4 linked regions of the Xenopus tropicalis genome follow. The main gene of each other region encodes a partner of the protein of the gene in region 2 in a complex. Links are inferred from orthologs where the notes say so. Each region holds a gene or a part of one and is shown on either strand. Other genes may lie near its edges.

Region 1 (8,624 bases), about 2.2 Mb from region 2:
TTTTACATGTTTTAGTACTCTAGCATTTGAGTTCATGGGATGACCCCTCCTGGGTGTACAAACATTTTTGCACGCACATATAATTCAGCACTTGCTCGGATTCAGTGCTCATGAATGATACCTTTTGCCCACACAGTCATCAAGAAAATAGAGGGTACATTGCCCTTGACAAGAGTCAATATTGGCTGCAACCAGTACACTCCCTAATCTTCAATTAACTGTGCCTATTGAGCCTTTGAAGTTCATGGCTTTTAATGCATTTACTCTGACGTAGAGTGACAGATAAGCATTGAAATATTTTAAACCATTCTCTGAGAAACAAGGTTGAAATGCACTGGTATTTTAAAAAATATGCATTCATTTGCAAATTTGCATTTGCGTAATTAATAAAAATAAAACCCGAAACAAGATTCTCTATATAGTAAACATGTTTTCATTCCTTCAGTTATATTCCAGTACCTGGTGTGTAGATGTGCAGACATATGGGAGGCCCATAGGTAGGAGGTCAGGGTTCTTTTCTTTTTGACATGAAACAGCAGATGTTGATAACATGTCTCCTTCAGGCATAAGAGGCAAACGGTCAGACGTGTTCACTGGCTGCCAAGCTTAACTTCAAAACCACAGAGGACATTTTGTTTTCTAAAAGGGATAAAAAAAAAAATATGTCATTTGATTATGAATGCCATAAAGATATATTATAAAACATTTTTATGTGCAAAGCAAAGAAATCTAATTATAGATTTGCAAATATGACAGGCCTTCTTTCTTTAGATTAAAATGGATGCTTGTTTGTTCCTTATGAGCAGTATTCATCAATTGAGTTTCCAATTAATTAATTGACAAAAGCACTTTTGGGAAGATTCAATAAGATCTATTGCACTTCCCTGCAAGTAAAATTAATTAGTATTAGTGTTTTTGTATCCATATACATGAATTACATTGTCAGAGTTTCATCATGTTAATTAACTGATGCCTGTGTGTAATTCAAGGGCAATAATAATAGTAAATTCTATATATTCTTGTATATATTACTGATGTATACAAATATATATGAAGAAGCACACATAGGCATAATATGCAATTGCCTAGGTGCTCATACACAAAGAAATACAGGTATGGGATCTATTATCCAGAATGCTCGGGACCTGGGGTTTTCCGGATAAGGGATCTTTCCGTAATTTGGATCTCGGTAACTTTAGTCTGCTAAAAATCATTTAAATATTAAATAAACCCAAATAGGCTTGTTTTCTATCCAATAAGGATTAATTATATCTTAGTTGGGATCAAGTACAAGGTTCTGTTTTATTATTACAGGGAAAAAGGAAATCATTTATAAAATTACAATTATTTGCTTATAATGGAGTCTATGGGAGATGGCCTTTCCGTAATTCGGAACTTTCTGGATAATGGGTTTCCGGATAAGGGATCCGATACCTGTACTACCAAGGAAAAGGCTTGGCATTCCTTTCCCTTGCTTTCTATTTATATTTTTCATAATGCCCTTGAGTAGATTCTCCTGTTTCCTGCTGCAATCTGTTATTGCTGAACCCCTGGTTTAAAATTGGAATGACTTTTAATATAAATTCCAAATTGATCAGTTACTTAGGATATATTGCTTGTGGAAGATGCTTATTCTGTGCTAAGGCTAAAACAGATTATATAACAGCACTAGTGCAAATATAAAGAGGCAGTGACATGGTCAGTTTTTAGGAAAGGTCTGTTGTGGTTCTACCACCACAACCACAGTCAATCAGACTGCAACACCCTTCACTAGCAGCAGAATGAGGCTACACCAACTCTGACCTCTCCACATTTAGGGTACAGCATTTTTTATATGACATTCAATATTATGTACAGGAAAGTCAGCACTCAAAGAACTTAATAGATATAACTTCTCTTATAGACCTATATATACACACACCCCCATCCCATCAGAGTAATCAGGTAGCAGACACTATGGATGCTGAGAATATCTGAATCATATAGCTTGAGGTGAAATTATAAGGAAGAATGTGCACTCCAAGAGTTATTATAGCTTTTATTTGAGGTATTTAAATGTTTTGAAATAAAAACCAGAATTTCTAAGTCTTAGGGGCTGATTTACTAACCCACGAATCCGACCCGAATTGGAAAAGTTCCGACTTGAAAACGAACATTTTGCGACTTTTTCGTATGTTTTGCGATTTTTTCGGATTCTGTACGAATTTTTCGTTACCAATACGATTTTTGCGTAAAAACGCAAGTTTTTCGTATCCATTACGAAAGTTGCGTAAAAAGTTGCGCATTTTGCGTAGCGCTAAATCTTACGCGAAAAGTTGCGCATTTTTCGCGTAAGTTTTAACGCTACGCAAAATGCGCAACTTTTTACGCAACTTTCGTAATGGATAGGAAAACTCGCGTTTTTACGCAAAAATCGTATTGGATCCGAAAAATTCGTAAAGAATCCGAAAAAATCGCAAAACATAAGAAAAAATCGCAAAGTACCGATCATTACGAAAAAAACGCAATCGGACTCCATTCGACCCGTTCGTGGGTAAGTAAATCAGCCCCTTAGAGAGAACATTTAAATAGAAGGATAATTCTTGAAAATGGGATGTATGAGACATTAACTGAGGCATTTCCTAATGGTGTTTTTTTTTGAGCCAAAACATGATTTTGTTGGGGAAAACCCCCCACAATTTTTCTTGCAAATTATTATGCAACAAAACCGTCACATAGTTACATAATTACATTGGGTTGAAAAAATACCAGAGTGCAAAGTTCAACCCTTCCAAGTAAACCCAGCACACACAAACCTATACTGACCTATTTATACACTCACATACATAAACTATATATCAGTGTTTTTCAACCTTTTTTGGGCAAAAGCACACTTGTTTCATGAAAAAAATCACGAGGCACACCACCATTAGAAAATGTTAAAAAATTTAACTCTGTGCCCAGCAGCAGTGCCCCCCTAGTACATTGGTGCCCAGCAGCAGTGCCCCCCTAGTACATTGGTGCCAAGAGCAGTGCCCCCCTAGTACATTGGTGCCCAGCAGCAGTGCCCCCCTAGTACATTGGTGCCAAGAGCAGTGCCCCCCTAGTACATTGGTGCCCAGCAGCAGTGCCCCCCTAGTACATTGGTGCCAAGAGCAGTGCCCCCCTAGTACATTGGTGCCCTGCCTACGGCACACCAGGCAACAACAGTGGTTGAAAAACGCTGCTATATATACCAACATCAATACTAACTGTAGATTTTAGTATCACAAAAACCATGGATACTATGCTTGTTCAAGATCTCATCCAAGCCAAAAAGCAAAAATATGCCGTCTGAAACCTGTTGAGATTATGTAGAAGTTAATGGCCGGTGTCATTTTTTCCAACTGGAAAATCTTTCTTTGCTTTGTGGTTTTAGAGGTTTTCGGGTTTTTTTTGACATTTCATTTGTGTGACACTATAAAAAAGTCACAGTTTTCGTGTTGTTTCCACGTCTTTGTTTGTTCTTGCTTTTTTAATTCAGATCTTATAATAAATGACTAAACATTTGTGGTTTTTGTGACATGAGTTTAGTTGTATGTCCCATAATCTCTTTTGAAACTAATCCAGCGAATAGAGAGTAACACAACAAATATCCCTGCAGTAAGCAATTGGTGTTGAGATTTAATTTCAGTCTCTGGGATGAGGATACAAGCTCTTATTTACCAAACCAACCACAACTGGGATGTGCTAAAATAGATAAAAGATTAATTAATACTATTCATAAAACTACCTGTGCTTATGAATATATTCACATTTCAGTTGGGAATAATTGCAGAGACCACCAAAGTGCCCAACCAGCCTGTTTTGATGTGGTGGTAGGTCTTGTGTTCCAATAAGGGGTGCTACTAACTGAAATGTGCTACTATTTGGGTTAAAACTCTACATTGTGGATAAAAAAACATGGTTATCTGTATCCTAAAACTGAACTTTGCACTATCCAAAGTTTTGTATTTGTAAATGAGCCTTTATACAGTATACAGCATGGAAATAATATTCATTACTGAGTATAGGGCTTACTTATCTACAGAATTGAAACTAATCAAGAACTTGTATTGCCTTCCCTCTAATACAGACCTTTTCCAGTTACTTGTGCATGCTTTGTTTATACATTCTTTAAAGTTAAACTGATCTACCTATCATTTTCTATTTTTCATTTCAGGCTGTCTATAAGTCCTGGCTATGCTCTCAGTATTTTGAAGTCACCCAGTCAGAATGCAGTAGCAAAATCCCATGCAAGCAATACTGTTTGGAGGTACAAAAAAGATGTCCCTTTATCTTACCAGATAATGATGATGTTGTCTATGGAGGCCTATCAAGTTTCATATGTACAGGTAAGCTGCATGTATAGTTTTTAGTAAACTGATTCTTTAATAGGTCACTTAACATAATATAAACTATCTGTTGGTTAAATATTCATTCTGGGGGTATAGTTTTCTTTTAAACTGGAAAGCTGTACAACAAAACAGTTACAAACAAATTGAACAGTAACTTACAACAGCAAATAGTCGCTGCGGCCTACTAAATGGTATTTCAACTTCCCCTTTAAGATTGGATCTGCATCTCTATGGTGTAGTGACATTTATTTTCCTGCTTAATTCCCTTGAAGGTCTGAGTAAAAGGAGATTTGAACCAGAATGATCCCTGACTGCTGCAGTAACTAATCTCAAGTTTCTTCTCTGTTGCAATTAGTATTTGATGTGACAAGCCATTTGCTTTGTTTTTTACATGTGTCAGATTAATTATAGAGGTGGAATTGACAGTTTGCCTGTTTTCTCTCTTAAAAAGATCATGCTATTACATAATTACATAGTTATTTAGGTTGAGAGAAGGACAGAAGTCATTCAAGTTCAGCCATTAACAAAACCTCTTCTGTGTGTGCCGTTTCATAGAAGTGCTTAACCATAATAACAGTTCATTAATGAATGCTACGTCCATTATCACCTTCATAGGGTATAAAACTTCCTTCTGACATGCAAGAAAAATGGCAATTGAATTTTCTTTATTTGAACGTTTCTTGGATGATTACATCAAGGTTTTACCCACAGCAAAAGTGATTATACCAAAAAAGTCGGTACAGGTATGGCACCTCTTATCCAGAATGCTCAGTACCTGAGGTTTGCCTCCAGTAGGTTTTAGATATCTCAGTTGGGATCAAGTACAAGGTACAATTTTATTATTACAGAGAAAAGGGGAATAATTTTTAAAACTTTGAATTATTTGATTGAAATGAAGTCAATAGGAGATTGCCCTTCTGCAATTTGGAGCTTTCTGGATAATGGATCCCATAGCTTTACTTGCTGTACTAGCTCCCTATATAAAAGCCTCTTTGTGTAGCTTTTTGGCAACTGTAACATGCTCTAACAAGCCAGGGCAATATGGAGGTGAGTTTGGAGCAGGGGCACCCAAACTTGTCCTTTGGTTCTTCAACAGTCAATGTTTTATTAGTATTAACTCAGTAAAACAGGTGTATCAGTTAGTGCCAGAGACTGGGGTATTAAAACCATCTCAGGCCATATTAAGCTCTCAGTTGCTTTCCTTATTCCAAATCCTATACTGAAGGGGCCATTTAATAAAGGTATGATTTTTTTTTCTTTTAGCACTAAAACTCGCTGAAAAAAAGTTGAGACTTTTTCAAGATTAACAAACTGTGACAATTCCATATAAAACTTGTCGAGATCATGGATTTTTCAATGTTGTAATTTGAATTTTTACTGCAATTCAAATTTTTATTGTGCTGAAATTCACTAATTTTGAGTTTCCAGAACTTGGATGTTCAATATTTATCAAGCATAAAAAAACTTGAAAAACTCCTATGCGACACTTCATCGTCTAAAAGCTTGCGAGTTCATCTAGAAGTCAATAGGAGTCGTCCTAGCAAAATGTTACAGATTTTTTCAGCTTGAGTTCTTTGAGTTTTTCTGATTTTTTTGAGTTTGTAGACTTATTGAAAATGGTGAGCGGAATGCAAATTTTCTGCGTTAAATGTTTTTTTAATTTACGCATGAGCAGTAGTAAGTGCCCTAATGGATGGTTTGTTTGCCCCAGTAGATTTCAATAGATTTTCCCCTCTTCATTAACATCTGTGTTATTTTATTTTAAGAAGGCTACTGTACACCTTACCCTAAACTTACTATTAGCTGCAAAACTCATCTAATATTTTGCTATCTCTTATGTTGGCCTCTCAGTAACCTGTTTTTGATGGCCAAAAATGTTGGGGGGGTCAGGTTCTCCTGTGCTGCTCTTTTCTTTTTCCACTTTCTCCTCTGAAGTATCACCCAGATAGTTTCCTTCAGTCTCAAGAAATGACTAAAACCCTTCTGCATGCCAATGCCAGGACTAAAGGTGACCATGCACGTTAATATCCGCTTGCTTGGCGAGGTTGCCAAGCGAGCGGATCTTTTCCTGATATCCTCACCTATGGGTGGGAGATATCAGGTGAATTTATACAAATTCGGTCGTTTGGCCCTGGGGCCTAATGATCAAATTAAAGCGCCATTAAAAGGCAGTTGATTCAGGGACCGCATCAATGAGCCGATAACGGCAGCTACCATCGGCCCGTGTATGGCCACCTTAATGCAACCAATGGCCAGAGCTTCCTATCATTCCTTTCCTAGAATTGCAATAAGTTGTTTTTAAACTTTTAAATCCATTCACTCATCCATTCACTTCATCTTATCCTTCTCTGAAGTACCTTCCCACACCATGTTGCCATGCTGTTTTACCCTCCTCAAATGTTATGTTTCAGACTTTAATACATGTTTTTGTTGCACCAAATGCATCGGAGTTAATTGCCTTTTTTATACAGTTTTTTTCTTGTGCAAATGCATTAAAGTCAATGACCATTTTTTCTTGTGCTGAATATATTATATTATATATACTCATGCAGATTTGCAAGCAATTTTGTCACTCATGAAAAACGTGAATTTATTTGCAATTTGCATCTACTGAAAAATTAGCTTTTTCCTACTATTCATACTCCAATTTCACTACATAATTTATTTGTTGTTAATTTATTCCTACACATCTAAACATATCATTGTGTCTAGTGCTTCCATAGAGTATAGTTATCTAGCGAAAACTGGGCCTTCTGTCCCCAAATCACTCATTCATGCTAAGATTTTGTATAAGTCTTGGTTTACACAACAAAATCATAAAATGTTATAAAAATGTTATAAATGTAAACAAGTTATATTCTTAGCCCAGTTACATGTTCCTATTTCAGAATGAGTTATATCAAATTTGTTTTATAATTTGTCCCAATGTTGTCGTTTAATATTCAAACTGTCTTTAGGAATATGCTACAGCTAGATATTTTTATTTATTTTACTTTCCAAAAGACATTATCATATGAATACAGCACCACCATGTGGCAAAAACAAGTAATGAAATAGTTTTAATCCTGTCGTTGGTAGCAATAGAGAATATTGAATAGAATATTTTTCCAATCATAAACATATTACAATATTACACTGGTGGCATTTTGAAAAATAGTTTAAGTAATATCAGAAATATGAACCATCTTGTTCTAAGGAATTTACAAGTCATTATTGTATAATGTTTATTATTTTTGGAACTGTGACACATAAGAACTGTAAGTAGGTAGTGTTCAGTTCAAAAACTTTCGACCCATGTGTTACAAAGCTGCAAGGCTATTCACTATTCCACCATGCTGCTGCATAAAAAAGAAAGGAACCCCTGGGAAGCAAGCTTGAAAGGTGGAGATGGAGGGGGTATGAATTGGAGGACAAATAGGGCCTGCAGGAGGTGCTTCAGTAAGAAAGCCCTTTGAGGGAAATTTGTAGGGAGGGGTGCAGGAGGTTTTACTTCTGAGAGCCTGGGAAGGTGGGTACACCACCTTCTCAGGACCATGGTGGTGGGGCAGTGAGTAGTTTCTTTCGCTTCCATCCATAAGGGTGTTGGAGTTTAGCCATTGCAGTAGCTGGTGATTCAGAGCTGCCCTGATGGGACATCAGAAAGAATCCCCTAATATTAAGGGGTATGTAGAGTGTGAGGGATAAGCCTGGGACTATGTTCTGTCAAGGAGTACAAGTATGTAAGTGTGTCATGGGAAATAGAAAGTGTAGACCTAATCTCGGACATTGTAGTGGATGTGCTTATGGCAGTGATGTTAAGATATGGTAAGTATGTTATTACACTAAGGGTGACATTCAGCAGCTTATGGACACACAGTCATGTTATAGTTAATGTTTGAAATATATATTTCTGACGTTTGGTGGACTGTGTTTGTCTTGGGTGAGAGTTGCACAGGGTTTAGGAATTGAGTTTATGCATGGCAAGATATTTGTGTGGAATTTTTTGCAAGGCAAAAGTTGTGTCTTTTATTACATATTGGGGAAAAATAAGGGACATCATTATTAAAATTTATTTTAATAATTGTAAAACATGATGTCTCTCATCAGCTACTAAAGGGCACCAAGCTAGGCATGCAAAAATGTTCAAGCTCATGTGAGTATTATGCCATAAAGAACGTAATTGCACCTTTGTGCCAAATACTATTAAAGGACAATGAAAGGTTAATATAAATTAAAAGTAAGTCTAAAGGCATTCTTTTTAAGTACTTACTGCATATCTAAATTCCCAGA
Region 2 (7,631 bases):
GATAAATATGGCAGTTTGTAGTTGTAGGAAGTTGTAGGCAATATCTTCACCGATTTAAAGCAGAGCACTATGAATGATAGTCATACAGCCAGTGCTCTTAGAGTGTTGGCACCCAGTCCTTATTTAGACTCAAAATAGCATAGTAGGTTGTGAGATCTTCTGTCTAATACACGTTTGCTTTGATTTCAGCCATAATTGTGGAAAACTTTTCCCTCTTCTACTCTACTGAAGAAGACCAGCTCCTAAGCCCTAATGATCTGCGCCATTACCAAATAATATGGAATATGGTTGATGATAAAAGAGAGGTAACATATTTTATTCTGAGCATCAGGCAAAATATATTTAAGTGCATTCAGAGAAAACAATCCTGGGTCAAACCATTGTCATCCATGTACTGTTAAAGATTAATTTAAGCCATATTGTGAATGATATAAATCTGTATTGCATTAGGTAAACTGTATTGTACTGTGGCTTTGAATGATTTGTGACTATAAATATCGTATAGGGGGTTATTCCAGCTTTTCGTGTGAAGTTCCTTCTGAGACTGCTACGCGGGAGGCTGGAGGTTGACTTAGATAAGGACAAGCTTTTGTTCAAACACATGTGCTATGAAATGGAGAGACTGCACAGCGGGGGAGATGTCACTTTCCATGATGTACTTAGGTGAGACAATATATACAATTTGTACACTCATCTCTGAAAGCTACATGGGGAGCTAGACTTGGACAAGGACAAGCAGTATATAAACATATGTGCTATGAAATGGAAACCGTTCACAGTAGGGGAGATGTTGCTTTTCGTGATGTTATATATTTCTATATATTGCGCACAATTTATATAGTCTTATATTCTTATTTTATGTGACCGTTAAGATACCTCTGTGTAAATTGCCCCTTGAGGTACCTTCATACAAGCACAACGGTTTAACCCGTTCACTGACATGTAGAACCGACGTTGCTGGCAAAAAAGTTATGGCAGAGTGGCAGCAGTGCGGAGTCTATGTTCCCACATTTCATTCAAATGAAATGAAAAAATGAATTGGAAATAAGATGTTAAAAAGACAAACTGCAATAGAGGTGTATTCTGGCAGGTAAAGGCTTAAAGGCAAAGAAAAGGCATAATAACTTGGGGTTATAATATCTAACTTGGGCAGGCACACATGCACATTATAGCAAAACTTCTGCTTTCCAAAGCTAAATTCAGATTCTATTCCATTTGGCCTGGGGTCTGAGGATAGTAATAATAATTATGCTTAAGAAATTGAAACCGCCACAGTGATTTTGAATTTACTTCCCCTTTAATTGTTCACCAGTATGAAAATGTAAAAGTACATTAAACTGTTCTAATAAGAATTTCTTACAGCCGACTGGATGTTTAAACACATTATATATCTTTAAGACATAAATGTAAACTTCTCTGGTTTAAAAAGAAGTTTCGAAAGGTTAGACATCAAGGCACTTCCTATTCATCTGACAACATTTCAGGCTGTCTTTGCAATTCTGTATCCACTGTTATATTATAGATACTAATGATTCTAATGTTATTATTGTAATGTTACTATTTGCTTGTTGTTATTTTCCTTATCATGAATATTAGGGTTTTTTTGTAGAATGGAAATGAGCAGATTTCCTTTAATTAAAAACACATTTTGACATTTTCTTCACTAATGAAAATGCCTATCTTCAGGGTCGGACTGGGCCGCCGGGACACCGGGAAAAATCCCGGTGGGCCCCGGCGGCTCAGTCCGACCTTTGCCGGTGCTCCCCCTACTGACTATTCCTTCCCTGACATGTTCAATTTATACGCGCTCAGGGAGGATGTCGGGTGGGGGGCCCCTGGGGGGGGGTAGGGGACACGGCTGGCCGGGGCACCTGCAGGGCCCCTGGGGTGGGAGCCCTGGTGGGCCCTGCACCCCTCAGTCTGACCATGTCTATCTTTCATTGTCAATGTCACTTATAGATCTAATTTTTAACATAACCAGCTTAGAATGTAGGGGTTACACTCCTCTCCTTATAGCAGCACTGATACTGAAAAGTAAACAGGTAAATTACCATACCTTAAATAGTTAACCCATAGGACAAGGATAGTAAAATGAATTACCAATTTGTTGACACCCCCTAATAACCATTGCTGCAAATTGTTTGCCCCAGGCCAGTTTACCCCTTATGTAATATACAAACCAGGGCACATAGGAAAGATGATGCCACTGGGCTCAGTGAATTGAGTTTTTCATTTTCATTTGTTTTTTTTACCTACTAAACTTACTAAATATACCATGTAATGCTTTGTTGCATGATGCCTCACTGCATATCACGTTTGTTTCCTGCAGCATGCTTTCCTACAGATCAGTGGATATCAGAAAGAGCCTTCAGCTGGAGGAGTTGCTAGCCAGAGAACAGCTAGAATACACAATAGAAGAAGAAGTAGCTAAACAAACAATACGAATGTGGTTGAAAAAGTGTTTGAAACGCATTCGAGCAGTAAGTTAAATGTTGTTATAAATAAGCATGTGATTTGAGTATCTCTGGAGCAGCAGTGGCCAACACTGACCTTGCTGCCTTAAAGGAAAACTATAGCCCCAAACAATGTAGGTCTCTATAAAAATATGTTGCATAAACATACCCGTATGTAAAATCCTGCTTCATCTAAATAAACCATGTTCATAAAAAATATACTTTTTTAGTACGTAGTATGTGCTATTGGGTAATCCTAAATAGAAAATTGCCATTTTAAAAATTAAGGGCCGCCTCCTGGGATCATAGGATTCACAGTGCACACAAACAAGCCAAGGCACACATACGTGCTAGGCCCCATCAGCCAATTAATGGACAGAGTCTTGCCTTTTGCTTCCCCACTTTTTCCTGTTACAGTTAGAGCAGCATTATTTCTGGCCATGTGATCTCTGGGGGAGCACACAGTCCATCACTAAATGGTGGATCAAGGAAAAAAAGTAAAAAGGCAATATTTACTGATATATATTCCTGTTTGGCAAGATTATTTAATAGGCCACTTAACATAATATAAACTATCTGTTGGTTAATTCATTCATTCCTTTAACTATGGCATTATCTCTATGGAATTTTGTTGTAATTTTTTAATTTTTGTGTGGACTTCCTTTTGCTACAGCTAACAGCTTTTAGAGAGTTATGGTAGTTGTAGTATAAGAACAGCTGAAGGTTATACACTCCTACTAGCAATAAATCTGTCCCATTTTGCCGGAAAATTTGCGAAATGCATTGTCAGTGGGAGAGAATTTTTTCTTACGTACAACAATTTTTTCTTATGCACGTGCATTTCTCATGTGCATTAATGTCAGTGGGCATTTTTTCTCACTCCCACAGTGTGATAGGCATCGCATTTTTTTACGAGAAAATTTTGAAAAATGTATTGAAGTCAATGGGCAACAAATTTTTCTTACATGTGACAATTTTTTCTTACACATGCAATTTTTACTTCTCACTGCAAATACATTAAAGTCAATGGGTGTTTTATTTCATTGCTGCAAATCTATGCCTGATGGAAAAAAGTAATGGCAATGCCTTGCAACCTTCCCTTAGTATAGACTAATGCTGCTCTGTCTTTAGATCCCCTTTTATGAAACAGTGTAATATTCATTCCAAACTAATATTGAAATCCTGCATATGTTTTTCAAATGAATAATGTATTTTTTTTATTGTATGAATGGGCCACCCACATTGGTATCTTGGGTTCATGTCCTCAATCTCAGCCTCACTGTTTTCAGATTTAACAGATCATTATTATCGTTCATTTATATAACTCCCAACACATTTACACTTTACAGAGATTATTGTTCACATCAGTCCCTATTGCAGTGGATCTTACAATCTAAGCACCTATTGCATTCAAACACAGTTTTATGATGAACCAAATAACCTGCCTGTATGTTTTTGGGGTGTGAGAGGAAATGGGAGTACTCAGGGGAAACTCACAGAGAGAACATGCAATCTCTTTGCAGACAGTGCCCAGGCTGAAACTCAGTTCAGGCTTACAGGGATGCTAGACAGAAGTGCTACCCACAGAGAAACCATAATACAATTAAGCATTCAAAGATTGGCCTGTGTTAGGAAAAAAGAGGTTTTACCAATTCTGACATGTAATGTTAAATATTTGTCTAGATAGCTTACACATAAATACTATTTCCTCAGTCACTAATGAATGAGAATATTGTAAATGGCACCTAAATTTGAATTGTATTCTGTCTATGGGTCCATTATTCACAGATGTGTTGTGATGTGTTGTTTTCTTCTATAAATGAACTGAAAAAAAGGTTGTTTCAACTATATTTATTTCATAGAAACAACAGCAATCATGCAGTATTATACACAGTTTGAGAGAGAGCCAACAGCAGGAACTGAGCAGGTTTCTGAACCCTCCTAGCATTGAGACCACACAGCCAAGTGAAGATATGAACCTAAGCAACCAAGACAATGCACAGCCAGAGGTATGTGGCATAAGAAACAACTTCCATATACACTTTGGGGAAACAATTCAGCATTAGCATTGGCAATAACTTGAAACTGATCATCTGGCATCTGATACTGTAAAGAATAGAAATATTACTCCAAAAGGAATAATGAAACATTGGAATAAAGGCCATTGGTACATGTGGTATTTTACCTGCCATATGATTCAAGGCGGCATAACTGTGTTGGTCAAAATGCCTTTAATAGCCTATCAGTTCCTCCCCAACTGAAAAGTATGGGAAGAATGGAAAATGATCTGCCTATGGTAGGCGCTAGTGGTAACATGGAGGCAATACATCCCTTTTCTTCAAATCAGCTATAAATCTTGCAAGACAACAAAAAAGACAACAGAAATATAAGAACAATCAATACACTGTATTAGTAAGTAACTATTGCCAATTATCAGTTTATTAGCGCATTTCCATATGGCCAATTAAGGTTATAAATTATTTTCAGTTTATTTTTAAGTTGACATAACATAGTTATCACCCTATGGTGGCGAAAGAAATTGGCATGGCTAGATTTACTAGGCTTTAGTAAACCTTGAGAAACATCTTACATAGCGTGGATTCAATAACACATATATGCCAAGAAATCTGCAATTACTAAACCATTTTTATGGATTTAATTCTGACTCAAACCATTGTTAGCCTCTATGAAACATTAGAAAGCAAATGCCATTATATGTGGATTGCATAAGTAAGCATTTAAGCAGTCAAATGGGGTAATGTAATAAAAAGAGCAAAGTATGCTGCTGTTCTACTAACCCACAGCAACCAATCAGCAGGTGGCATTAACAGGTCATGGGTTTGTGAAAACAATCATCTGAGAACTTAAGAAAGAAGGAAGCAGAAGTAATCAGCTTTGGCAATATAAACTATGTGTGTCTGCTTTTGTCTCGCAGACAAGTAGCCAACAACAGCTTCTTAGCCCAACGCTTTCTGACAGAGGAGGTTATCGTCAGGATTCAATTGAAGCTGGTAAACCTCAGAGAAAGTTTGGGCAGTGGCGATTACCAGCAGGTAAGTGTGCAGGTAGTGCTGCTTTTATTGTACTACTATCCATCCTGGTAGATTTTATGAAGCTAAAGTTAGCAAAAAAAATGCATGAGTAAAACTACAGCTTTATTGGATCTCTGGGTTAGGCCCTAATATGGATCTAAGCAGAAGAATATAGTCAGCGCAAGGCTCTTCCAATGAAGGCAGCTGTCCTTAACTCAGCTTCTTCAAAGAAGGGCACTACTGTGCAATAAATCTTATATGGACTATAGGGACAGAAATAAATCAAATAAGGCTAGATGCCAACAAATACTGCATGTGACTAGCTCTGTATGGTTATAATTTGGAAGAGCAGCCTTGATACCCAGATATGTGTGCTTTAATTCCTGGGGTACACATATATATATGCATAACATATATATGGCATGTCTTTTTACAAGGAACCTTTATCCAGAGGTCTCTCTTTAAATACTTATTCTACTTTATTTGGGCAGTTGATTGTAATATATGTTTTATTAGTTGTTTTATGTATACTTATTTCTGTCAGTATAAAGTTCCTATAGTCCATGTTGCTTGCCCTGAAAAAACAATGAAGTATATTTCCAGAGATACAAGTACTATATCACGTTTAGAAACTACCTGGTAGCGACTATTCACAGTTAGAATTGACCAAATAGAAAAACATATTGGCTTAAAACATTTAAATTCTTCAGCAAAACTTTTGTGCCAAGGGACAATACAGTTAGGGGGGGTTGCAAGTCACAGTGTCACACCACAGGAATTGCAAATCTAATGGATGATTTACTGGGGCCTTCAGGTGACATTCGGCTCTACACCCATTTATTTCAGACCATGTTGGTTTATGATTTATATAAAAGGGTTGTAAGGTGAAAAATTAAAAGGTTCTCCATTATAAAATAAAGCTGTTCTCAATATACATTCATTACAAACTCTCTACCATTTTTACAAAGAGAACCTGCAAACAGACTTTTAATTTTCGCCTTTACTCCTTTAAGCCTATATTTTCCATTGTAAAGATGCTCTGTGTACATACTAATACAACCCTATATTTTCTGCAATTCAGCACCAAAACCAATAAGCCATTCTGTGTCCTCTGTGAACCTACGATTTGGAGGACGGTCAACAATGAAGTCTGTAGTGTGCAAGATGAACGCCATGTCTGATGCTGCCTCCTGTGGTTCTGAAGTCAAGAAATGGTGGACAAGACAACTGACAGTAGAAAGTGATGAGAGTGGTGATGACCTTCTTGATATGTGAGGCTATTACTAAGCCTAATTCAGACAAAAGTAGTGGATGATTGCAGAGCGCTTTTCATGTTGGTATTATTTTCTATTATTTACATTTCAACTTACACACAACCAACTTTTGTATTTTTCGTATTAAATTGTTGATGTATCTAAAAAATATGAAATATTGCAAAAGCCAAATATTTTTAAAAAAATGTGTTGCAGTGTGATATCATAGAGTTATGCAGCATTATAAAAGATCTGCAACTTACACAGGGAGAATTGTAAATGTGTTTATAAATGAATGGTTTATATGCAGGAATGTCTCTCTTGGGAATACTGTGAGATAAAACATTAGGAATATAAATACCTTCTGTATTCAGCTAATATATAAATCACTGGGTAATACAATATTTCAGCCAAAACGGATTTCAGTATTGTAATCTATGTAAAATTGTATTCATATTAAAGTTATTATGCTTTTAATGACTTAAACAGAGGAGTGACCATCGTCAAAATGTATTAAAAAGTAATGTTTCTATTATGTGTTTGGGGTTATAGCCTGCTGCTGGTTCAGAGGCATCCTTACAAAGCCCCCCAAATAATGTTTGCCATTAGTTGGAATGCATTTGTATCAAAAGTATTTGGAACTACATTACTGCATTACTACACCTAAGGATGGGCATGGAGCCCTCATAATTCTATGGCAAAGACTGGTGCTATATATATATACACATATTATATATATATATATATATATATATATAACAGAGAAATAGATGCCGCACTCACAGGTCTTAGTGTAAAATAAAGGGTATTTATTGTGTCAGACTAACGTTTCGGTTGTGTCCACAGCCTTTCTCAAAGTCTTCTCACTTCTCACTTTGAGAAAGCCTGTGGAC
Region 3 (8,624 bases), on a different chromosome or scaffold from region 2:
CTCATAAACTGTTTTTCTTTTATGTCAGGTGAGCCTTTGTACTCCCAGTGAAAACACCCCTACAGAAAGCCTGGCACGGCTGGTCAGTATGGTCTTCCAGTGGTTTCATTCAACAGCTTACATGATGGATGATGAAGTAGGAAGTCTTGTTGAGAAGCTGAAACCCCAATTTGTTACTAAATGGTTGAAAACTGTGTGTGAAATTCGATTTGATGTCATGGTTATGTGCCTACTCCCCAAGCCAATGGAATTTGCCAGGGTAAAGATTCAATTTAGAATTTTTAAGTCTGGGCTACAGTCATCAAAAGCAAAAGTTTTTACTTGTACATGAATACAATGCTTAACATTATGTAAACTCATTGCCAAATCATTCTGTAGAAAATGGTTTGCTTTATTTTTAAAAAGCTTTTATTATTTTTGCAACAAACAAGTTCTGCCTTGCTTTATGGCAGAGATTCACTCAGAGTAAGAGCAATAGAGGCAGGCAACTCCATCACTTGCCGTGGATCTGAAAGGCTCAATTACTACACCATTAGCTTGGGAGGTTTGTGTTTTTAGTTTAACTGTGAATGTGGAATAGATAAAGAAGTTTAACTGAATAAGAGCAAGCAAACCAGTGATCCATTGTGGATAACGGAACCGCTTTTACGCCAATTACTGTATTAAACAACATACTAGAGCTTTCCACAGCAACAAGACTGTAATAAACCATTAACAATTATATTAAATATAACATGGAGTAATTGAAAATGGTATAATTGAATCAAATAACAGGTAACTGGTGCAGATTATTGTGTTTTGGCAAATTTGAAAGAAATAAGTATTTTTGCCTTGCAAGGTAAATTTGGATGCAGGCCTCTGCTGATATTTCTATTTATATTTTGTGGTGTATTAATACTGTGTGAGTTAGTTCCATATTTAGATGACAGTAGATATTCTTGTGGGGCTGGGTGCATTAGGATGGATGCATTGGCAGCCATGTTCAGGAGCTTGTTTGGACACAAGAACCTAGTTCACCTTTGAGTTAACTTTTAGTATGTTATAGAATGTCCTATTCCTAGCAACTTTTCCACTAGTCTTCATTTATTAATTTCATGGTTTTTTAATTATTTGCCACCTTCCCACTTCCCAAGCTACAATTTTATTATTACATTTAATTATTTATCTTTCTATTCAGGCCCTCTCCTATTTATATTCCAGTATCTCAATCAAACCAATTTCTGGTGGCCAGGATATACCACATCGCTGCTGAAATTCCAATGTAAACCATTTTTACATGTAAAAATGTAAACCAACTGCAAATGGTCTTAGTATATCACAGTCTACAATTTAGTAAAAAATAATGTAAGGGTGAAATACCCCTTTCAGTGTCATAACTACCATACAACCATTATACAGGTCTTCTGCATGGTGGTTTTGCCACCCACTGCAAGCCAATAGCAAGCAGGCAGCAATGCATCCATTCTAGAGCAGCTACACTTTTGCACAGGTTGGTAAACGACCCCTTAGACCTTATTCCACGTAATAAGTATTGACCGTTATCAGTTTTAGATTTCTAAATTCTTAGAAAAAGTCTTTTTCTAAGCAAGGGAAAAAACTTCCTCTCTTTATATATGCATTTTTGCAGATACTTTATGGGTTGGGTTTGGTAATGATGTTCTAAGTCTAATTTGTTACTGTTTCCTTAGGTTGGTGGGTATTGGGACAAATCATGCAGTACAGTGACACAGCTAAAAGAAGGTCTAAATAGAATACTTTGCCTTATCCCTTATAATGTAATAAACCAGCAAGTGTGGGAATGCATTATGCCTGAATGGCTGGAAGCCATTCGAACAGAAGTTCCAGACACCCAGCTCAAAGAGTTCCGTGAGGTTCTAAGGTTAGTGCAAATCTTTACTTTACCTGCAGAAGGGTTGATAATATTACAGTCTTATTATTATCAATATTGTAAGAATGATTAAGGTGGAGTTCTAGTTTTATCTTTACAGGGTAAAAGAACTAGGGATGCATTGAATCCTGGATTCGATTCAGGATTCGGCCAAATCCAAGATCCTGGCCAAAGCAAGTCTGAACCCTATATAAAGAAAAAAATTGCAGCACTGGCCTTTTCCTTCTCCATGCTGGCAATTTCCTACTGTGTTTAGATTGAGTTCAGTATTCGGCCGAATCCCTTGAGGAGGATTTGGCTGAATATCAAATCAAAGGGTTCAATGCATCTCTAAATAGAACATATGCTTTTACTACTTCCAGTGGACCTCCACAGCTGCAACATTGATCCAAAACTTCTCTGTCAGCAAAGTGGATGATTATGCTGGAAGTTTTTTTCTGTTTCATTAAACAGCTGATAGAATAACCATATTGGACATTGCTAAATTACAAAACATACCACCAAGACTAGATGTGTTTTTAAATGACCTATAACGAGCATCCATGTTTATTTAGAAGAGAAGTGGCCTTAAGTTCATCAGACACATTCAATTTGTTGTAAAGACCTTTGTTAAACAAGAAACACTGCTGTTCAAAAGTTTGCAATCACCAAGAAAGTTTGTGTTGTTGATAGAACAGCTTAGAAATATGATGCAATTTGCACCATCAAGCACTGACCATAGGGTTAACATGACTTTTTAAAAACAGATTGCTTAGTGATTTCAAACTAATATAAATAAGGTAACACAAACAAGAATTTTGCTGTAAAAAATTCTGCCTATGCCTACTGGAGGATTTACACAGTTGTGAAATGACAATTCCATTTTGTTCAATATCTGTTTATGCCATTGTTTTGCAAGTAGAGATTATATTGTCATCTGTTTGATTTTGCAGCAAAATGTTTGATATTGAGCTTTGCCCACTGCCATTTTCCATGGAGGAGATGTTTGGATTCATTAGCTGTCGCTTTACTGGGTATCCATCCTCTGTTCAAGAGCAGGCATTGCTGTGGCTTCATGTAAGTACAAAACCCTGTACACGGAAGACCATGACTGTTGTAGAATAAATGAGCCATTATAAAGGTACACTAAGGTGTAAAGTAATTCCTAATGGACAGACAATGAAAAATCCACAAGGAATTATATAACCCCTGACAGCCTAAAGTATACAGGGAACATCTATGTGGAATAGATTGAAGGTCTGAAAATCTTTCAGATACCTGTTGTTCTTTAGTTCCTATTGATCTGGGTTTGTTAGTTGTAGCTAAGCCTTACAATTTTTGTGTACAGAATATATTAATGAGTTATATTTATGATAAATTGGTTTTGTTTTGGATACCTCAGTTTTAATTCCTATAAAAGCATTTCAATTGTTTAGAAACTAAAAAGTACAAATGCATAGACTCAAATTGGTTTATAATGTACGCTCTTATAATATAACAGATATGATGCAATAGGTTTCCTTTATACTTTTTATAGGTGCTGTCTGAGTTAGACATAGTGGTTCCTCTTCAGCTGCTCATAAGCATGTTTTCTGATGGAGTCAATTCAGTTAAAGAACTAGCCAATCAACGGAAGGTTCGCGTCAATGATCTGGCTGGAAACATTGCAGGCCACCGGGTAAGCAAAGCTTTAATTGTGTATCATCATTGCCCATCTTCTGTAATAACTGTTAGGTGGTTTATGCCATACTCTGCCTGTCCTATGCTGCCTGTGTGTGCCATACTCTGCCTGCCCTATGCTACCTGTGTGTGCCATACTCTGCTTGCCCTATGCTGCCTGTGGGACCTGGCAGGGGTTTGTTCTAGGAGTTTGTTAGCAGTTGGAAATAGTCATTAAATGGTTGCTGTGCTATCCACAGGGAAGGAGGAGGCAAATGGATTTAAGGGTGTGTCTTAATATGATATAATATTATTCTTTCACATATGAATAAAGGGTGATGTCCCTGCAGTGAGCACTAACCATTTGGGTTTTTGCTGCGCTTCCATCATAAATGTGGGTATGGTCTTGAAAGCTTTTGTGATAACATGGGTGTTGTTTGAAGTAGGTGTGGTTTAAAAAAAGGGGAGTGGTCAAAACTGGCTTCCATTAGCAGCCCTCCACCATATAGGCTAGAAAAATTCTGGCCCTCGGTACCACAGAAGTTGGACAGCACTTTTATGTAGTAAAAGGTGCAAAGTTGTCTAATCACCTCTAGCAGGTAGTATTTACTAGTCTCCTGTTGCTATGGGTTACTGCACAAACTATCTTGTGTTACATATGGGAAGTAAGAGTAGTAAAGAAATATTTATGAAATTTTTTTAAGCAAATAGTAGAAGTGCTGTTCTTTATAGAACTGCTTACTTTTTTATCTAAAGAGTTTTTGGGAACTACCAGAAGCACACACTTTTTGTAGTAGTGGGGCATTTATCACAGTTACATACCTCCCAACATTTGAAAAATGAAAAGAGGGACAAAAACAATTTTTGACCATGCCCACTTTGTGGCCACGCCCCAATTACCACACCCCATTTTTAAAATTAATTTTTAAAATAGTGCCCCCGATGGCCCAATAGACAGCACCCCCATAGACAGTGCCCCCATACACAGTGCCCCATTTGCCCCCATAGACAGTACCCCCATAGACAGTGCCCCCAATTGACCCCATAGACCATGCCCTCAATTGCCCCACAGACAGTAGCCCCCATACACAGTGCCCCCATAGAAAGTACCCTCCATACACAATGTCCCCATAGAAAGTGCCCCCATACACAGTTCCCCCATACACAGTACCCCCATACACAGTACCCCCCATACACAGTGCCCACCATACACAGTGCCCACCATACACATTACCCCCCATACACAGTATCCCTCCTTACACAGTGCCCCCCATACAGTGTCCCCCATACACAGTACCCCCCATACACAGTTCCCCCATACACAGTACCCCCCATACACAGTGCCCCCCATACACAGTAGCCCTCCTTACACAGTGCCCCCCCATACAGTGCCCCCCATACACAGTACCCCCCCATACACAGAGCCCCCATACACAGAGCCCCCCATACACAGTAGCCCTCCTTACACAGTGCCTCCCCATACACAGTGCCCCCCATACACAGTGCTCCCCATACACAGTAGCCCTCCTTACACAGTGCCCCCCCATACAGTGCCCCCCATACACAGTAGCCCCCCAATTGCCCCCATAGAGAGTACCTCCAATAGAAAATTCCCCCCATACATAGTGCCCCCCATAGACTTCTTGTGGCTCCTGCTGCCATGCATATAAGGCTTAAGAACAAACCACACAATCTGCAAGTAGAAAATGGAATTACCGTCATATTAACTACTGGCAAAAATAGTAGATACTGTTAACCATGTTAACATTTTTAAGGGCCCTCGTGCCCCAAATATTTTTTAGAGATGAAGTTTTGCACATATTCAGGTATGGGATCCCTTATACAGAAACCAGTTATTCAGAAACCTCTGAATTAAGGGAAGACCATCTCCTATAGAGTAAATTTTCAGCAAATAATTCCAGATTTTTGGTATAATAAAACAGTACCTTGTACTTGAACCTAACTAAGCTACATGAATCATATTGGGTTTATTTAACCTTTAAATGAGTTTTAGCTGTCTTAAAACATGGTAATTCAAATTACAGAATAATCCCATATCCAGATAACAGGACCTATATCTGTAAAAATGCACAATCCCCACTTTATGGCAATATGTTAGAAAGGTCTCTAGGTGGTGCTGTTTGCTTTTGTACTGTGAAAATATCAAGCCAAGCTCTTTGTTAAGCCGACTGGATCCTGTTCAGAATCATTTATTTTTTTGTTTGCTTCTGAAATCAAAACTATTGTTGTAACTATGGTTATACAAAGAGTACATATTCTTTTCTCTTTAGCACTGGACACTGTTGCTGCATGAAACACAAAGCTAAGGAATGAAACCTTCAACAATGAATTTAGAGAACAAATACTTACATTTCTACTACTGCAAATGACTTGAAATGACTTATTGCTCTAATCAGAAAATTGATCTTTTGTCCTTGTCTTCTTTAAGCAGCTGCTTTCTCCCCTGTCTTTCCTGCAGGGCAGTATTGCTTCTGACCCTGGACGCCGAGTTCAACACAGCATGCTCAGCCCCTTTCCTAGCCCATTTCACAGTCCTTTTCGTAGCCCCATGCGCAGTCCTTTTCGCAGCCCCTTTAAGAACTATGGACATCCCGGAGGAAGGACTATTGACTTTGACTGTGATGATGATGAAATGAATCTGAACTGCTTCATACTAATGTTTGACCTCATTCTGAAACAGGTAGAGCTGTGTATCTGGGCACAATTTGCACCATTTAATTTAAAAGAGCAGGATTGTTGGATAAATAACAGTCACTGGGCCCAACAACAAAATACTTTTCGTGTCCAGTTCCTAGACATAAGGAAAGATGACCAATTTCATACAGATATATTAAAACTGGATGTTACGCAGAGCAACTACAGACACTCCAGATCCCATGCCCTTGGTTTGCTGTCTGTTCTGTTCCATCTCTGGAGTATGGAAATCTTTTTGTTGAAGTTGAGGCATCTTCATCCAGGTGTTAGGGGGCATCTGCTGTAGTGTATTTGTATTACACAAGAAGTCAGAAAATATTATATTAAGGAAAATGCGACTATTTTTAACTACAGACTGGGTTATTTTTATCTTTTAGATGGAATTACAGGATGATGGGATCACTATGGGCTTGGAGAATAGCCTGTCAAAGGATATTATTTCCATTATAAACAACGTATTACAGGCCCCATGGGGTGGTTCCCATACATGTCAAAAGGATGAGAAAGCAGTTGAATGCAGTCTCTGTCAATCCAGCATCTTATGTTATCAGATGGCCTGTGAGCTGCTTGAGCGGCTAGCTCCTAAGGAAGAGATCCGGCTTGTTGTAAGTAGATGGTGGAAATAAAAAATTTTGTCATAAAAGTGTCAATGCCTGATTTGGGATTCAAACTTGTCCTGCTGCATTATGGGTCATTCTAAATGTTTGTTCCACAGAAAAGAGTTTAATAGTAAAACAGAGAGAAAGAGAACTATTAAGCAATCCTATTGGGTATAACTCATATTTAAATGATTTTTTAGTAGACTTAAGAAATGGAGATCCAAATTATGCAAAGATCCCTTATCTGGAAAACACCAGGTCTCAAGCATTCTGGGTAACAGGTCCCATACCTGTACAATGTGTGGGCGGGTACAGTGCTCCATATTTCACCCCTCCCTAAATGTACACTGGTAAAATCATTTGTAATCCCCAAAACAGAGCCGTTCACATCCAGAGAGGTACTGGGGAAGAGATAAACAGGAAACAGAATTTTTAATAAGCCTGTGAGGCATTTAAGATAGGATAGCCCTAAAAAAAAGTGTGATTAAATAGGCACTTAGGAATCCCCAGAAAAGCAAAAAGATCAATGTATTTTCTCTGCAGGAACAAACAAAGCCCTAGAAATATATCTCCTTTCATACAATATATCTCTTTCTCTTTGAAATCCATTACCTATGTGCTGTCATTGTGAAAAACGAGGTACACTGTGTGGTGGCAGGGATATTCCAGTTTACAGAATAGCTCAGCAGGATTGCTAATGTGTGAGCTGTGTCTGAGCCCTGGATATGCCCTTATACCAAAGAAGATGAATGTGATTGATTGCTCGCATTTCTAGCATGCAGACTAGACACTGGATTTTGGTGGTTCAGCAAACTTTCAGTCCTAGTGACAAATGATCCTTGTATTAGCACAGAAATGGATGGAACTGCCAATAAAGAATCTAAATAGAAGGAAGCTCTGCTCAAACTTCAGAATAAATAGATTCCTAATACTTTTTATATTTATGCATTTAGGTGAGCATTATACACACCAATGATAGGTTTTGTCATTAATGCCAAGTTAGCATAGCGTATAAAGGTACACTTGTGTCTGGGAAAGGCATGATTCAAATGTTACTGCAACTCTTAGTTGGTTGTGATAATGTGTCCACTGGATGGTGTTGTATGATTTTACCTTTACCAATCCACACTCACCAGCACACCCTGGCCTTTCCATTCTGTTCCGTCTGGTGCACAGTATTTAGAGAGACGTCGGCACTCTCCACCACGTCAGACATGATGTCTGACAAAGGGGCGTGCCCCCGAAACGTTACATGGTTTGCTACTATTAAAAATCAGCAGAGTTTATCCCGCTTAAACAAGTCATGTTGTGCCGGTATTTTTGTGCTATTATGATTTTACCTTTAACCTTTTCTCTGGGACAGATTATTTTTGGCAGTTACTGTATATTCCAATTTACTTATTCATAAAAACATATTTTCAGGAGCCCACTGACAGCCTGGAAGAGAGTTTGCTGTTCTCCAGAGCTGATTTTATTATTGCAACAGAGGGAGAAGAGGAGAACAACCCAAAAAACAAGCACAGTGATAATCCAGGGAACCACACTGAATCAACAGAGCCTGCAGCCACAAGTGAGTTTGCCAATGTCATAAGAGGCTACAGTCTAGATACTCCAGTTTCTTGCACTGTGCTCCATGAACCCCAAAAGCACATTACTGAATCTGAAGGATAATTCTATCCTTCAGATTCAGTAATATGCTTTTGGGGTTCATGGAGCACAGTCAAAGTCATTATGAACCATTTAGGGAAAGAAATTGTTCACACCGAAACCACAGCCTTATTAAA
Region 4 (7,351 bases), on a different chromosome or scaffold from region 2:
GTACAATGCTGTACTTGCTAGTACAATGCTGAAACCCTGATTGTCTTGCCACAGACAGAGCATTTTGAAACATTGTAGAAAGCTTGGAGCCCCGATACATGGGAAAAAAATTCAGTGATGGCCCTCTTGCATTTGTTGATCTACAATTGCCAGCAGATGATAAACTTGCAAAAGAGGCTTTGAGGTTTATTTTTAAAAATATTGACACCAACAAAAAGTAAATTTAAATATCAGTTTATTTTGTAAACATCAATTTCACATATATAAGCTCTGTTCCTTCTTGACAAAATATAGGTAAGCTTTTAGATATATATTTATCTTATACATATGCAGTTTACATTTGGCAACCAAGAGGTTCTTCCCATTAAGCTAAAGCCACATTGGCTGTTTTCTCCAGTGACATGGTTCAGCCGGCAGGGAAGAGACCAAAACCAGTCCTGCTACCTCCCACTGAATGTAATGCTAAACCCATGAAAGGTGCTAAGGCTCAGCACCAGTACTGGCAATTCTTGCACTGATAATGCACATTAGTGAGCTATTGGCGAAATTGTTGTGTTTGTCTTTAGCTTTTAATAACTTTCTCTCTGTTGCACTGTGGGCACTGGGTGGATTGTGCTTTCAGGACAATGACCATCTTACAGAGGTACCTATACACCTCTGTCTCCGTTAGGCTTAAAAGTACACACTTTGTCCTTGGAGTCTTATAAAATCATATAGCAATGCTTCCTGTAAGTTTCTTGGGGTTTTCTTCCCATTTGAATAATTTCCGGGTCCAGCGTAAGATGTTGATCAAATGTACCTTTTAGAATTTTTTTGTAATAATGTTCATAACTGTTAATTTACTGCCAGATTCCATTTAGTCTTCACTATTCATTAAAGTACAATCACTGATAAATTGCTATTTAACTGCACAGTAACCAACAACAAACAGTGCACTCTGGATGGAAACAACAATACACAACAGCTCCACATATTAATAAGTAGGCAGCCTCTGGGTTTAAAGTACCAGGTACACAACACAGCCAGAACACTGTATCTCTAGAAGGAAAGGAAAGAATAATGTTCTGTTTGCAATTCAAAATGAAAGTGCAAAGATCTCTCTTCTGTCCAAGAGTATAAAAGTGCATTAATGTGCATGATAGTGAAGGACCTGCAATAATGCACACGTACAATTTTTACATAGGATAAGTACACAGAAGGAAACTTATTCTGTTCAAATTGAACTACCCCACATAGAAATGTTAATACAGGACAAATACCAATAGGCAATGGAGGTTCCGCAACAAGCTGAAATTCGTTAGGTGCACATTAACATTAAAGGGATTGTAAACTGAAATAAAAAAATGTGCAGAAATAAAAGCAAATTTGTAAGTAACATTCAATGGACTATTGAAGCAATGAAACATCTGTGATTCTCCTTCTTTAAAGACAGCAGAGCATTATAGGAAGAGCAGAGCATTATAGGGATTGGAGCCTTCGCTGGAGGACAGCTGACAACTGCAATTTCAATAGCACATGAGTAGAGAGTAGCTCACAGCGGCTCCACAGAGTGAAAATGAACATTTCATTGCCCATTATATAGGCATTTTAGGGGGCTTATTGTTCAACTTGAACTTACTTTCACCCCCTTGGAAAATAGGCCCTTATAATTCTATAGAAGTAAATAGATAGCTATGGAAGTTCATTTTGGCGAACTGTGGGGCCTCTTATATTTACCCTATGATAGATATTCCCCAAGGTGTATACAATACACTTTCTATGGGGAAAGTGTGAATAATTAGAAAAGAAGTAGTAGTATTAACTCTAAGAGATTTGGTGGGATTGTGTGCAGTCATTTTAACACTTAAGTGAAGAGGCAAATGACTTACATGAAATAACATTTCACCTTATGGCTACAATGAGCACAGGCATGACAGTTCATTTTAGTACACAAGACAAAAGCACACAGTGTAATGTTATGGCTACACACAAGGCATTAGCAAGAGGTACACAGCAACGCACAATGCTATTAAGGCCTTAGGCACTGTTAAGCAGAAAACAGGAATGTCAGATGCATGAACGGAATACCTGCTATTTTGCAACATTGGTTTCTAAATTCACAGTAGACCCAGAAACATCATTAAGGAGAAGCAACAGCTCAGGATGATGCTGAGTAATGTTTCAGGTCTAAAATAAAAAACAGACTATGAACACCTTTCTGTTCATTGTACTGCACATCCATGTAGCAATGGAGTGAACACATTACATTCATGTGGTTTATGGAAACCACCCTTCAAGTATCTATATTTTAGAGGAAAGAAGTCTAACAAACATAAATGGGAGACATGAAAACCTGTTTCTACACTCATTGTTCCAAACATCTAGCAGAGGGATGCTGACAATCAGATGTACAGTGTCACTAAAGCCAGACACTTCAAGGCTTTGCACTATAGTACTGTATTTGGCATATTCAAACAATTTGGTTTTTTTCCTTGGGGTTTTCACCTTTCACCTGCTCAGTTACTAGTGACACTGCACTGAAAAACAATTTAGAGCAAACCAAGCACGAACAAAAGTAACAAGCAACAAGTGTCATCATGGTTTCTGCTTGACCAGTAAAGTGTTTGTAGGTAAAAATCCCCTTTAGAAATTGGGTGTTGCCACATACACAGAGAGGTTTAAGTGTGCACCAGGGTTACACATGAGACTCGTCCAGATCAATGTCTGTTTCTCCCAGTTCGATGTGTGAGAAGTTAAAATGTCCTGAAACCAAAGGGTTTTCCATTCCACTATCTTCTGTGATGTGAAGAACTGTATCGCCATATTGGAGAAGGCTGCTGGTCTCCAGCGCATTAAAGTCTTCAGGGTCTGAAAGATGGGAAGATGGGGAACTGTGGAGAAGTTGGGCTGATGCTCCCCTGCTAGACTCTGGGTTCTCTTTCCCTAGGAAGTAGCCCCCTCTCTGGAAGAATAGTGGGAGACCAAATTGAGCAAGATAAAATGAGTATAATTTTAAAAAATTCAAGTTTCATTTACTAGTTCTATAAAACGCTGATTTGACTTTCATGAAATAGTATAGATTTGTTGCTGCATTTACTACACATACAAGTGCAAACATGGTGAAATAAATATATATATATTTAACTTCTGGAAACAGAACAAATGTGAGCAACCATACGGTTTTAGTATATTTTAGTACATTCTCACTATAAACACCAGTGCACCAAGCAATATCCTGGTAATTACCCCTGTGATGTTGCAGCAGATTGCTGTACTCCTTCGCAGTTCTACAGTCACACCTCTGTCTTCCTCCCTTAGTTAACATCCCCCCTCAGGCATCCTCTCTCAGATATCCGCCTTCAGTCATCCTCCCTAATGTATCTTCCCTCAACCTTCAATCATCCTCCCTAATGTATCTTCCCTCAACCTTCAATCATCCTCCCTCATATATCCTGTTAGCATGCAAATTAACAATGGAAATGTAATTAATGCTTTATTTAAAAACCCAAATACTAAGGGGCAGATTTATCAAACTGTAAGTGTAGAATGTAAAAACTCACCTGCTTTCTATTTATTTCTATGTGATTTTTAGAAGTGTATTTATTAATGGGCGATAGTTAAAACTCACCATTTGATGAATACACTTCTTAAAATCCCATAGTAATGAACAGGATGTAGGTGATTTTTAATGTACCATATTAAGGGCTAAACTTACACTTTGATAAATCTGCCCCTAAATGTAATTAGTCCAATGCTCTTATCTGCAAGATAATGGTTTTATTCATGCTTCTTTATATTTAATTGCATATATTCAAAGTTTCAAGATCTGAGCAAAAGTTAAACAGCAAAAAGTTTGAAACACACCTGCATTGAAATCCGTTTTTCAAAAATAAAACCAGATTTTTTAATATTTAATTTTGAAATTTTTCAAGGGCCTAACAATATTCTTCATTTCCCAGGGTGTCACAGCCATGTGACCTGTGCTCTGATAAACTTCAGTCACACTTTACTGCTGAGCTGCAAGTTGGAGTGATATCACCCCCCTCCAGCAATCGATCAGCAGAGAATGGGAAGGGAGCAAGATAGCAGCTCCCAGTAGATATCAGAATATCACTCAGTAGTAAAGGTCCCCATACACGGGCCGACTATAGCTGCCGATATCGGTCCCTTGGACCGATTCGGCAGCTAATCGGCCCGTGTATGGGGAGAGCAGAGCGGCCTGGCCGACCGATATCTGGCCTGAAATTGGCCAGATCTCGATCGGCCAGGTTAGAAAATCCGGTCAGATCGGGGACCGCATCGGCTCGTTGATGCGGCCCCCGATCCAACTGCCCCATTGCCGCCCACATAATTATTTTTTTTTTCACCTAAAAATACACGAGCGGATCTGCTCGTGTATGGCCACCTTAAGAAATCTAAATCTAGTTTGGGACTCCTCCAGTTACATGGGAGTAGGGAAAACAATAGGTTGCCTGAAAGCAGTTCTAATGTGTAGCGTTGGCTCCTTCAGAGAGCTCAGAATCAGGCACAATGCACTGAGATGGCGCCTACACACCAATATAACTAAAAAATTTGTTGGTTCAAGAATAAAATTTATAGTGAATTATTTGTTATGTAACCAGTGTAATTTAGAAATAAAAAGTACACCATAAAAATCATGACAGAATCCCTTTAAAGGGCACGTTCACTTGGTCTGGGTATCTGTGCAGGAGCGAGGCATTATGGGAACTTTCTTTACACAGCTCAGCGTTTTCTCTTCCTGTTTGGCTTCTGATCTTCTGAACAGGTGACTTAAAGGAACAGTAACACCAAAAAATGAAAGAGCTTTAAAGTAATACAAATATAATGCACTGTTGCCCTGCACTGGTAAAACTGGTGTATTTGCTACAGGAACACTACTATAATTTATATAATAAGCTGCTGTGTAGCCATGGGTGCAGCCATTCAAGCTGGAAAAAATGAGAAAAGGCACAGGCACATAGCAGATAACAGATAAGTTCTGTAGAATACAATAGTGTTTTATCTGTTATCTGCTATGTGCCTGTGCCTTTTCTCCTTTGAATGGCTGCCCCCATGGCTACATAGCAGCTTATTTATATAAATTATAGTAGACTTTCTGAAGTAAACACACAACTTTTACCAGTGCAGGGCAGCAGCACATTATATTTTAGTTACTTTTATACACTTTCATTTTTTGGTGTTACTGTTCCTTTAAGGGCACTATTGAGAGAACTGAAGGTATGCCTGCAGCTTGAGATTAACTCTTTACTAGCCTTTCCTTTTCCTTTAAAAGACAACAAACTTGAATAAAATCATTAATTTGCAGATAAGAACATGGGACTTAGCACTGGGGTTGTTTTTAAATAAATGTTTATTTATATTTACATTGTTTAAATCATTTAATTTGCCAAAGTGACAGTTGATAAATAAGCGAAGAGAGAGAATGACTGAGGGAGAAGGGCAGATACAACCTGTGTAATAGCGCATGCATACTTGCATTTATAGTGAGGATGTCCTAAAATGGTTACCGTACAGCCAACACATCAAGCTCATGTTCATAATGAAAAAGAAATACACTGTTCCAGCCATAAAATAAACAAGGCAACTGTTAATAAATAAGGCAACTTTTTCAAAACAGACCCTGAACATCACATCCTAAGAGTGAGGGCACACTTGGTATAGGGTCTGCTTCTCTCTGCCTGCATTTTGTAGGCAGGTGGAGAAAAGCAAATCCACTCCTACTGTATATGTTCTGGGGTGTAGTTGCACTGACAGAAGCAGTGTCAGCCTGAGTACAGCTACACAGGATGGACATGGACCCCAAAATGCATGTTTTTGCAATTTCTGGCCCGATCTCCACTTTGTGTAGCTACATTCAGGCCAACACCATGCCTGTAAGTCAAGCTACACACAAGGGTGTATAGAAGTGATTGCGTTTCTCTTCACCTGTCTACAAAATGCAGAGAGAGATGCAGGTCATACGCCCAGGGTGCCCACCCTAAGGAACATATTCAATAAGACGTTTAGAGTGTAAATGTATGCTGTTGGTTGCTAACTTCTCTCACTCTGATTAGGTTTGCATTATGGATCAGCAACGCAGCTGCCCCACTTTTCCTTTTTTGGTGTGTTTGGTATATGACATAAATAGGCCAATTTACTTAGGAGTAGATGGAACTATGGGCGTTCCCTTTAAGAGCTCCATGCAATAAAGGCTTTTGCCTAGCCCTGTAAGCTATGTTAAATATCTGATGCAGAGTACAGTGCAGTCAGACACAAGGACCCCTATACTGTACTTACAGGGCAGTAAGTGCAGGGCTGGAACTTAAACCAGGAGAAGCAAAGAGGAAGATCCAATGTTTTTGTTACCAGTCAAGTATTGCGCTAGCCCAGAGCCAGCAAAGTTCATAATGAAAAGTATACTCTTTGTGCCAACCATTAGTCAAATACAAGAAAACAGAGAATATAGCTGGCACAGTCAATAACACCAGTGTAACCAAGCCAATATGGACTGCTATAATGAGACTTTACAACCTGGACAGTAAACTGTATTATAATATTTCCATCAAACAAGTGGATCTACCCAAGTTAGACTTAATCGTCCACTAAAGCAGATCTATGGCCAGTGTGGTCACCCAAATTTACCCAGGTCTTTGCAAACATACTAGGAAAGAATAATATCCATGGACTAGTGTTATTGTTGCCCTTTTCATTTTTTTTCATCCAGCCCAATCAGTATACAATGTCCTCTACCACATATGAGTTGGCATTGTTTTGTTTTGCCAACTCGGTCAACACCAGCCAAATCAAAAGGCAATATCAGCTTGTGCATGGATAACCTTAATCTCAGACACAGTAGAAAGATACAGAGAACCTAAATTAGTTGTTAAACAACTATAATCACAACTCATCTACACAGCAAGCACACATCATATAATCACTGGGGAATCTGGTGGTTTCAAATGTGTGTTTTAATGATATACAGGTATAGGACCCATTATCCAGAATGCTCGGGACCAAGGGTATTCCGGATAAGGGGTTTTTCCGTAATTTGGATCTCCATACATTAAATCTATTAAAAAATCAATAAAACATTAATTAAACCCAATAGGATTGTTTTGCATCCAATAAGGATTATTTATATCTTAGTTGGGATCAGTTACAAGGTTCTGTTTTATTACCACAGAGAAAAAGGAAATCAGTTTTAAAATTCTGAATTATTTGGTTAAAATGGAGTCTATGGGAGACGGGCTTTCCGTAATTCGGAGCTTTATGGATAATGGGTTTCCGGATAAGGGATCCCATACCTGTACAAGATGCTCATTCATATTGCATATTCACAGTAGAAGTCTTTTACCAGTAATTAAGAAATTAG

Evidence for each region.
Region 1: the proteins of nalcn (region 2) and fam155a are in contact, whole or in part, in a cryo-EM structure (PDB 7CM3), measured with the Homo sapiens proteins. The link is inferred for Xenopus tropicalis from reciprocal best matches to the Homo sapiens genes NALCN and NALF1. Residues at the interface, in NP_001337678.1 of Homo sapiens: Cys207, Val209, Asn220, Leu222, Ala223, Ile224, Pro225, Thr227, Tyr237, Pro240, Phe243, Tyr406, Glu409, Phe909, Ala1044, Lys1045, Asn1047, Pro1049, Arg1054, Ile1060, Arg1062, Ile1063, Asn1064, Val1065, Ser1066, Lys1069, Lys1080, Lys1081, Gly1083, Phe1084; in NP_001073865.1 of Homo sapiens: Lys278, Glu281, Phe282, Val285, His287, Lys288, Tyr289, Leu290, Gln291, Glu294, Tyr295, Ser296, Val297, Lys298, Ser299, Tyr308, Trp311, Leu312, Gln315, Leu335, Gln338, Thr339, Cys341, Phe343, Ile344, Leu345, Pro346, Asp347, Asn348, Asp349.
Region 3: the proteins of nalcn (region 2) and unc79 are in contact, whole or in part, in a cryo-EM structure (PDB 7SX3), measured with the Homo sapiens proteins. The link is inferred for Xenopus tropicalis from reciprocal best matches to the Homo sapiens genes NALCN and UNC79. Residues at the interface, in NP_001337678.1 of Homo sapiens: Gln349, Met350, Phe351, His352, Glu353, Gly358, Trp359, Gln360, Leu361, Phe712, Ser713, Ile714, Arg717; in NP_001333147.1 of Homo sapiens: Cys861, Gln862, Ile865, Glu968, Pro969, Asp970, Phe1020, Gln1022, Pro2088, Asp2089, Ala2092, Pro2093, Leu2095, Leu2096, Met2099, Leu2139, Pro2141, Asn2142, Gly2143, Ile2144, Gln2147, Leu2148, Ser2151.
Region 4: the proteins of nalcn (region 2) and unc80 are in contact, whole or in part, in a cryo-EM structure (PDB 7SX3), measured with the Homo sapiens proteins. The link is inferred for Xenopus tropicalis from reciprocal best matches to the Homo sapiens genes NALCN and UNC80. Residues at the interface, in NP_001337678.1 of Homo sapiens: Asn639, Met643, Val644, Ile646, Lys648, Leu649, Pro650, Phe653, Val655, Pro656, Lys657, Ile658, Arg659, Glu660, Phe662, Met663, Lys664, Gln665, Phe666, Ile667, Arg669, Val711, Ser713, Arg715, Ala716, Arg717, Leu719, Lys722, Glu723, Ala725; in NP_115893.1 of Homo sapiens: Lys1979, Asn2004, Glu2005, Cys2006, Asp2007, Leu2128, Arg2129, Leu2130, Pro2131, Pro2134, Arg2135, Ile2138, Asp2139, Phe2142, Phe2145, Ser2146, Glu2179, Asp2184, Glu2185, Met2187, Leu2188, Asn2191, Asn2194, Ile2198, Leu2199, Glu2202, Ser2226, Leu2227, Ser2228, Gln2231.

The regions. Positions count from the first base shown.
Region 1 is NC_030678.2:118,173,748-118,182,371, forward strand, and holds part of fam155a (transmembrane protein FAM155A), read left to right. Parts: intron 1-4,180; coding exon 4,181-4,352; intron 4,353-8,624. UniProt on the Homo sapiens protein: Auxillary component of the NALCN sodium channel complex, a channel that regulates the resting membrane potential and controls neuronal excitability.
Region 2 is NC_030678.2:120,372,683-120,380,313, forward strand, and holds the end of nalcn (sodium leak channel non-selective protein), read left to right. Parts: intron 1-189; coding exon 190-305; intron 306-505; coding exon 506-663; intron 664-2,329; coding exon 2,330-2,480; intron 2,481-4,315; coding exon 4,316-4,462; intron 4,463-5,388; coding exon 5,389-5,506; intron 5,507-6,566; coding exon 6,567-6,760; 3' UTR 6,761-7,224; downstream 7,225-7,631. UniProt on the Homo sapiens protein: Voltage-gated ion channel responsible for the resting Na(+) permeability that controls neuronal excitability. NALCN channel functions as a multi-protein complex, which consists at least of NALCN, NALF1, UNC79 and UNC80.
Region 3 is NC_030684.2:87,915,059-87,923,682, forward strand, and holds part of unc79 (protein unc-79 homolog), read left to right. Parts: intron 1-28; coding exon 29-259; intron 260-1,688; coding exon 1,689-1,879; intron 1,880-2,820; coding exon 2,821-2,944; intron 2,945-3,404; coding exon 3,405-3,545; intron 3,546-6,005; coding exon 6,006-6,227; intron 6,228-6,618; coding exon 6,619-6,846; intron 6,847-8,262; coding exon 8,263-8,410; intron 8,411-8,624. UniProt on the Homo sapiens protein: Auxiliary subunit of the NALCN sodium channel complex, a voltage-gated ion channel responsible for the resting Na(+) permeability that controls neuronal excitability.
Region 4 is NC_030685.2:56,161,056-56,168,406, reverse strand, and holds the end of unc80 (protein unc-80 homolog), read right to left. Parts: intron 2,942-7,351; coding exon 2,675-2,941; 3' UTR 219-2,674; downstream 1-218. UniProt on the Homo sapiens protein: Auxiliary subunit of the NALCN sodium channel complex, a voltage-gated ion channel responsible for the resting Na(+) permeability that controls neuronal excitability.